Lepisosteus oculatus: one gene and its partner. The protein of the gene in region 1 binds, or shares a complex with, the protein of each later gene. Links are inferred from orthologs where the notes say so. Each region holds a gene or a part of one and is shown in the gene's direction. Other genes may lie near its edges.

Region 1 (3,752 bases):
ATAGAATTATTTGAACATTTCTTTTTCAGCTCGGAAAGATGCAGATGTATTTTAATAAGAACAAATAAAATAGGAAAACAAAATACAGTGTTTCTCCTGTTGAGCCATCTTCATTTGCGAGTCAAAAGAAAAAGGATCAACAGCCAAAAAGTTGTATTTCTATTTTTCAGTGTGGAATTGACCTTTACTTGTTCCTTTGCAGCCAACACACACTGATGCAGTTCTCCACTTGATGTATATCATATATATACAGTGCCCCTAACACATAACTTCTGATAGGAAAGAAGGCGTGTGTGTATCATTTGTAATCCAGCAACATTTGAAAAGCTGTAAAGGACATTGGAGCAACATTGGAGTGGATCAAGAATAAAAATCTTATGTCCTCGAGTGGCTCAAAGTCCTGACCTAAACTCCATGGAAAATCTATGGTATGATTTGAAAGTTGTGGTCCACAAGCACTATCCAATAAACCTGAATGAGCTACAACCAATCTGCCAAGAGGAATGGGAGAACATCAGGTCTAATCAGTGTGCAAAGCTGTTAGACATCTACCCCAAATGACTTAAGGTGGCCTATGGTGGCTCCACCAAATATTAATGTGTGGGGTCTGAATACTTATGCAAGCAGCATAGTTCAGTTTTTGTCTCGCTTTGAGATATCTGCTGAAATTTCTAAACAAATTTGAAGTAAATTGTTTTTGAGCATGTGAGTGTGCAATAAAAATGTTGATTGAAGAAGATGTGTATTATTTGTGATCCAGCACCCTTTGAAAAGTTGTTAAGAGTCTGAATAAATTTGCAAGCCACTGTACACATACTGTACATTTTGTCGAATCTATTTAAAAATATAAAAATATATGTATGTGTACATAAATCATGCTATACCTTAAGCTGCTTGGAGTAATGGAAGGTCTGTTTATGAAAAACAATAAAACTGCATATATACATACAGTTTTGTGATATATCTAATACTGTATATTGAACTGAAACTAGTGTTGCTCTTAAACCCAGATGGTGGTCAGTGAAAACAACCTTCAATTATTTCTGTTTCTCCCTAGTGGAGATTGCAGTTGGTGTCAAATGATGTTGGTTTAAAATGCTCACCAGTTCACTCTCTAAATTTTCATTAAATTGCTAGAAGAATGTAAACTGTATCTTTAAAACTGTTGCTGTAATGTATCTCTCCCTGCTGGTTTTGGACTGGAACCTTTTGCACTGAAATTGCAACGACGGTGCTAAGTAGAAGATTTAGTGTAACCACATTTTAGTTTTCAAATCACACGCATTATACAATAGTGATATAAAATAACCTCCTCGTTATTACAACCTAATTATGATGAATTATGTGATGATGATGTTGATGACGACAAAGATTAATATTGTACTGTTAGTAAGCATTCGTTTCAATGTCACTTCTGAATTTATCAATGCACTGTAATTTAATTTGAGGAATAATAATATATTTTATTTAAATCTGCTACTTATGTCTGTTCTGCTTCTCGACTATTTTCTTCAAAAATAGGGGGGAAGGGGGGATCGCGCAGTGGAGCATTGATTAGTCGCGCCTGGCAGAGGGAGAAGTGTGTTTTTTTAGTTTGACCGGAGCTTGTGGGCTCCAATCAGATCTGGGGATCATGCACTAACAACAAACAAAAGAGCTATCTGTCCATGTCTGGTTTTAATTGTGTCCGTCAGATTATTTGCTTTGTTTTAAACTAGTAGCCCTTTTCCCTCCTTCTTGCGGCATTTAGTAAAAATTAATTTATTGTTGTAGTTGTTATTGTAGTTATTTAGTATTTTTTTAATAGACAAAAACAATCCCGATCGCCATGTCCGGGCAGTCATCGGGCTGTGGGTTTCTGATGTCGGTTGTGGTTCATGGGGACTCAGCGCTCAACGAGCAGGAAAGGGAGCTGAACCAGCGGCTCAGGCGGCTGTATCCGGCGGTGAACGAGCAGGAGACCCCGCTGCCCCGATCCTGGAGCCCCAAGGACAAGTTCAGCTACATCGGTCTCTCCCAGAACAATCTCCGGGTGCATTACAAAGGTACGGAGGGGAGGGGGGCTGCGAGAGTGACGTGTCTTCCAACAAACGTGTACTTTCCAAGCGTACCCCAGGCAAAGATTTAATACCCACCGACAAAGAAAAATGCTAATAAAAAACAAGCAATCCCCGCATCAGGAAGGGGTACAAAGACGCGGCCTCTGTAGTCTATAGCTAACAAGCCGAGACATCTTTGGTGCAGGCCTGAACAGCAACGAAATAGTGACTGCGATCGTTGTAAAATAACCCGTGTTATTTTAAATGTCACGGCAGCTTTGGCTCGTTGTTACTGTGCTATGTGTAATATATATATAAACAAAATGTGATACGACATTATTTGGTGTTATCATATATTTTTACTTTTTTTCGATCAGTTGTCGAGTGGTGATCTAAAAAAAAAACCTATAGATCGGGTTTTCCTGTTGCTCATATATTACAATGAACTCTGGGCCGTAGAGGAAAAACAAATACGGGATGGTTCTTTAGCTACCGACTACTGTACTTGCCGTAAGACGCAGAGCAAGATTGCTCAACCCAGTTTTTCAGGATTAGTTACATAAACATGAACAAAGCCAGCGAAACAGCTGGGAGAGGACTGCGCAGAGACTGTATCTAAGTTCAGATGTTCAGAAGGAGTCTGATATTTGTTCTGTTCAAAAAATATACATATGGTGTCTGCCCTAGAACACTTTATTGTCAAACCGATTATTTTTAAGCATCTTCAGTTGTCCTGCATTTGCCGCAGTTTATGAGACAGTTGGACAGGCCTGTACACATGTGTAACTACTGTTCGTTCGTAATATACACACATTTCCCGAATAGAAGGATTATCATAATACATGTGTGGTTGATCTGTTCAAAAGTGTCAAACTAGACATTGTGTTCTCATGAGAATTTATTGTCTTGCTTTTAACCAGAAAACCACAGACGATGTACTAAGTGGTTCTCAGGACGGTTTGGAGAGAGTACACACAGCAGAGCAGTGCTAAGGGTTGTACAATGAACTGTATTGTTAAGGATGTTGGGTGTTACATGAGTGTTAAGAGCTGCACTAGGCCTTGAAACAACAGGAAGAGAGACCAGAGTGTGTGAATTTTCTCATGCATAGTCCTCTGAGATGAATAAAGCTGACCAGAGTGGCTCTTATTGTTACTGTGAACACAAGAAGCAGCCTATCAATTTCACTGAGAGCACACAGATGCTATAAATAACCCCTCTTCTTATAAGTCTTCTGATTGTTAACAGGTGTTGCTTAATTTTCGTTTGTCTTTGATGTAGTTATTTTTTTCTCTAAAAAACACAGATATTCTATATTTTTTACAGACTTGGGGAGGAAGGGGTGATACTATCCCCCAAGGATTTGTGAGAATGTAGATTTTATGGCTAGGGTATCGAACTTGGGGGCTTGCTCCTTCTGTAATCCATTTGAATCCTTTAATTCGGTAATCTGTTTATTTTCTCACATTGAACATTATTCAGTTGTTTTTTTAATACTTATTTTATGCATATTTTAAAATAATACATGGCAAGGGCCAGCCTTTAATTTAATATACAGTAGCTATGAAGTGTTTTGAGACTTGAAAATATTTTTAAAAATGACTAGTTAGCAAAATACCTGGGCCATTTAAGTGATAGGAAGTACAGAAGATTCTGTGTTCCTCTGGGATTTGGACACTCATTTAATAAGGTGTTTCGTATGTACAGTATAGT
Region 2 (3,752 bases), on another chromosome or scaffold:
TCCCGCGGTCCAGGTTTATCTCAAACAGCCCACCTGCAGGCGCAGGAGACCGGGCGCTGAACAGCACGGCACATCACTCAGCCTGAGCCGATCCGGACCTCGTCTGCACATTCCTCACCACAGCGGAGCACTGAGACACTGTTTCACACACTTATCCACTTGCAGAACAATACAAAATACAAGACAAATACAGCTCTGCTGGAGACGGGCAAGATCAGCCAAACGGCTTGCTGTCGTTTCTTTCTTTCTTTTTTAGTTTTTATTGAATCGTCATAAATACAAAAAGGAGACACAATATTAAAACAAAACTGTTATCTGTTACAGTCTACCTCAGGAAAAAAACAGGATGTGTTTCATACCGCACCTTGTCCTTGTGAAATACTGACGTCCTGGTAGAACTTCTTCCTCCCTGTGGATACAAGCAAATACGAATATCTGATTGAACCGGGCAATTAAAAACAGAGAGAATGTATTTTCATGATCTAACCTAGAGACGTCACCATGGTTGTGTAAGAACGGAACACAAGAATACATTTGCCGCATTACGGGCATCCAGCTTGTTGTGCAATTACATCGGAATCAGCGATTGACTAACAAAGCGACACGAGTTCCCACACGCCGGGCAGAACCCGGCTCTTACCCGGGGTCGCAGTAGAGTATGCCGGCGAGCTTGCAGCGACACAGCCGCACGGTGACTGGACAGCGGTGCCGCCTCTCCTGCACAACCGGGCCAGACCCCGCAACATCTCTCTGACAGATTCTTCTTATTTCGGGAATCACGACCTCAAATCGATTTCATGCGCTTTTGCAGGGTAACCAAAGCATTAAAGCATGTCATAGGGACTTATGACACTTGATTAAATTATGCATTATCACACTGCATTATCGAATCCTAGTTACCCGGCAATCAATACACATATATTTTAATGGTGTTTTTGGACGTGTTCCCCTTTAAAGAATCGCATTCCCAGGGTCAGTCATAACCTGCTCAACCGCATGGGCGCCGCCATGTCAGTGACCTCAAGCGCGTCACTGCTCCTCGGACACGCTCTCCAATGGCCGCTGGGAAACCTGAGGAACGGGGCGGAAACAGTCCGAAGGTCACTGAGGTGGGTTATGGGAGGTGGAGTTCGACTGCGGGAGAACGGAGGAAAAACTACAGATCGGGGCTAGAAGACCTACAAGTCCCAAAATGCATTTCAGAAGGCCATCCAATGAGCGGCGGTTTCTTTGCCAGGTGCGCTCCCCTGGCCAATAGGCTGGCGGGATGTTGCTGCGTGGTGCTGCGTTGAGGTCCCTACTGTTTGCTGGGACCCTGGTAGCGCATCTCTCGGCGGCTGGGGAGAATTCGTGAGTCGGTGAGCCGCCTCGACAGTTCTCCCCCTGTCCCCTTTTTGTTACCGTCTCTGTGGCGTACGTCGGCCATAGCTGGGGCGACCTTCAGACGTGATAAACATGCCGGTCCGGACCGAGTGCTGCAGTACCGCCTGTGCGGCCTTTATAGCCTCGGCCTCGCTTATCCCGCCTCCCCCAATCAACACGCAGCAGCCGGGTGTCGCCACCTCGCTCCTGTACAGCGGCTCCAAGTTCCGCGGACACCAGAAGAGCAAAGGGAATTCGTACGATGTCGAGGTTGTTTTGCAGGTAAGTAAGAAACGAAGAGTATTTATACCGGAGCCTAGTGTCATCGACTAACATACAATCTGGCCAGTAAAACGACGTAATATTATCATAGACGTATTAATATCACTGGGGAGGTGATTAACTAAAAACTTGTAGACGCGTTTCTCAGTTGAGATCAATCTCACATTAAGTTGTGTTGAAATCGTTCTTATCCCTGTGGTGTTATCGAGGTGGATTGTGGTGTTTTTGTTTTCAATCTTTCACTGTTTCAGTTTTATTGAGAACTTCTTCTTAGCTCGAACAGCCCCAGTAAAAAGTCGACTGTAGCAATTTCTAACCTCCTAGGACTGTGTTGTTTGACTTAAAATAATTTATAAGTGTTAAATACAACAATATTGGAGGTTCTAAGGCTTATGCTTTTCAGGTTAGGCTTGGTACCAAAAGCACAACAGTCACTGAAGACATCCAGATCCTCAGTTGCCCTCTTCATAGTCGTCACAGCAGCCAGACCTGCGCTGTAAATGACGTGATCCTTGTCACATACAAAGTGTACCTCGGACTGTGAGAGTTTTATAGGAGGTTAAAATGAACTCTGTGAAACTGGTCCAGCAAAGGTGCTTGTATTTTGCCCGGCAATGATGTGGCATTTCAGTCACATTACCTACTTGAACTACTTTAATAATAGCTGCGTCAGCTCAGCATGCGTAGGCTGCAAAGGAACAGGTAAAGGTTTATTCCATGCTGAAGAGGAAGAAAAGAAACACAACGTTTCGGCTGTGCAGCCTTTTTCAGGTGTCACCCGAAGAAGGCTCCACGGCCGAAACATTGTTTCTTTTCTTCGGTTTTCAGCGGGGAATAAACCTTTACCTGTTTGCATTATTATTATTAAAGCTCACCATTCCTCTACAACATGCGCACATGATATTGCAACACATCAATTTGTGAAATGTGTGCTGCTGAAGGTAAATTATACACTTTTCTTCTTGTGCAGTCACTCTCAGAGGAAGGGTTTTTAGTGTCGGAAGCTGGGTTAATTAAAATTGTCTCAAGTGTCACACTTGGCTTAGAAAAACTGGATTTTTAGCCTCAATTACAAAGTAGGTCTGCAGAAGCAGCAGGGGCTGCAGTGAGGGCCTGTCATTCCTTGCCTCACTAGGTATGTAGGTTCTGAGCACCAGTAATTAGACTCCGATGGAAGTTGGAACTGTTGGAGCCCCGATGATTCACATTGAAACAGTGTTTGACTCATGCTTCAAATATTTAAAAACAATGCCGCTGTTTAGTCAGGTAGTTCAAATCTGAGACCGTGTTGTAATGCTCCGAACTGGCTGTCATGACGATATTGTCATTTTTTGCCTTGACAGCACGTTACGATGGAAGACTCGTACTTGTGCGGGTACCTTAAGATCAAAGGACTGACAGAGGTGAGATTCAGACAGCTGTGGCTCACGGGAGTGTTGTGGTGTTCAGTTTGAAGGGAGATTTACACCTGCCGAGCTGGTACCTTCACGTTTCTGCTTCCTTTGTTGTCGCTTGTGCCAGTTCTCTGGTTTTCTCTTTTTCACAGTTGATAAGTATTTCTGGCGGGTTAAGGTTGCATTTCTGCGTCATCTGGAACTTGCAGCCTTGGTTATATTTATTCAGTAGCAGCAGTTGTTCTCATTCAGACTTCTGCCATACAGGGTTTTACTCAGATCTGATTGATGTGCAGTTCCTTTCACTGGGGCTCCATTTTTACGGTGACTTTTTTTGCTGTTAAACATACCTCACCTGTCGGTGGGGTGGTTCAGAGGAAGAGCTGCTGTTCCAGGAGGGGCTGTGTTCTGTGAGCATCAGTAGCCCATAGAGGAGAGTATTGGCTGCTATATGAGGGGTGCTGGTATTAAGATCGAGGTGAAGTTTTGGAAGGCTAAATGAATATGGACTTGGCTGATCCATTACTGGGGCAATATCCAGTGTGCTGAACTAATATTTGGAAGTTGGTTGGGAGATTCTGAGTTCAGCTATTAGTGGATTGTTGCTTTATAAGATGCCCCTTCATCACAAAACAAATTGTTTAAGCATATTTGTAGCTAAACCCCATTGCTCATTGACAACCCGTCTTTGACCTGAAAGACATAAGACAACAG

The links.
Region 2: the proteins of ranbp9 (region 1) and gid4 are in contact, whole or in part, in a cryo-EM structure (PDB 7NSC), measured with the Homo sapiens proteins. The link is inferred for Lepisosteus oculatus from reciprocal best matches to the Homo sapiens genes RANBP9 and GID4. Residues at the interface, in NP_005484.2 of Homo sapiens: Ser223, Lys224, Gly225, Arg226, Asp227, Gly228, Tyr229, Met230, Gly256, Asp257, Thr274, Phe275, Thr276, Thr277; in NP_076957.3 of Homo sapiens: Leu187, Arg189, Asp194, Glu195, Asn216, Asp218.

Annotation. Positions count from the first base shown.
Region 1 is NC_090701.1:20,160,511-20,164,262, forward strand, and holds the start of ranbp9 (ran-binding protein 9), read left to right. Parts: upstream 1-1,506; 5' UTR 1,507-1,828; coding exon 1,829-2,045; intron 2,046-3,752. UniProt on the Homo sapiens protein: May act as scaffolding protein, and as adapter protein to couple membrane receptors to intracellular signaling pathways. Acts as a mediator of cell spreading and actin cytoskeleton rearrangement.
Region 2 is NC_090714.1:17,608,438-17,612,189, forward strand, and holds the start of gid4 (glucose-induced degradation protein 4 homolog), read left to right. Parts: upstream 1-1,280; 5' UTR 1,281-1,455; coding exon 1,456-1,644; intron 1,645-2,987; coding exon 2,988-3,047; intron 3,048-3,752. Other genes in the region: atpaf2 (ATP synthase mitochondrial F1 complex assembly factor 2), read right to left, coding at 1-33, 365-409, 641-746.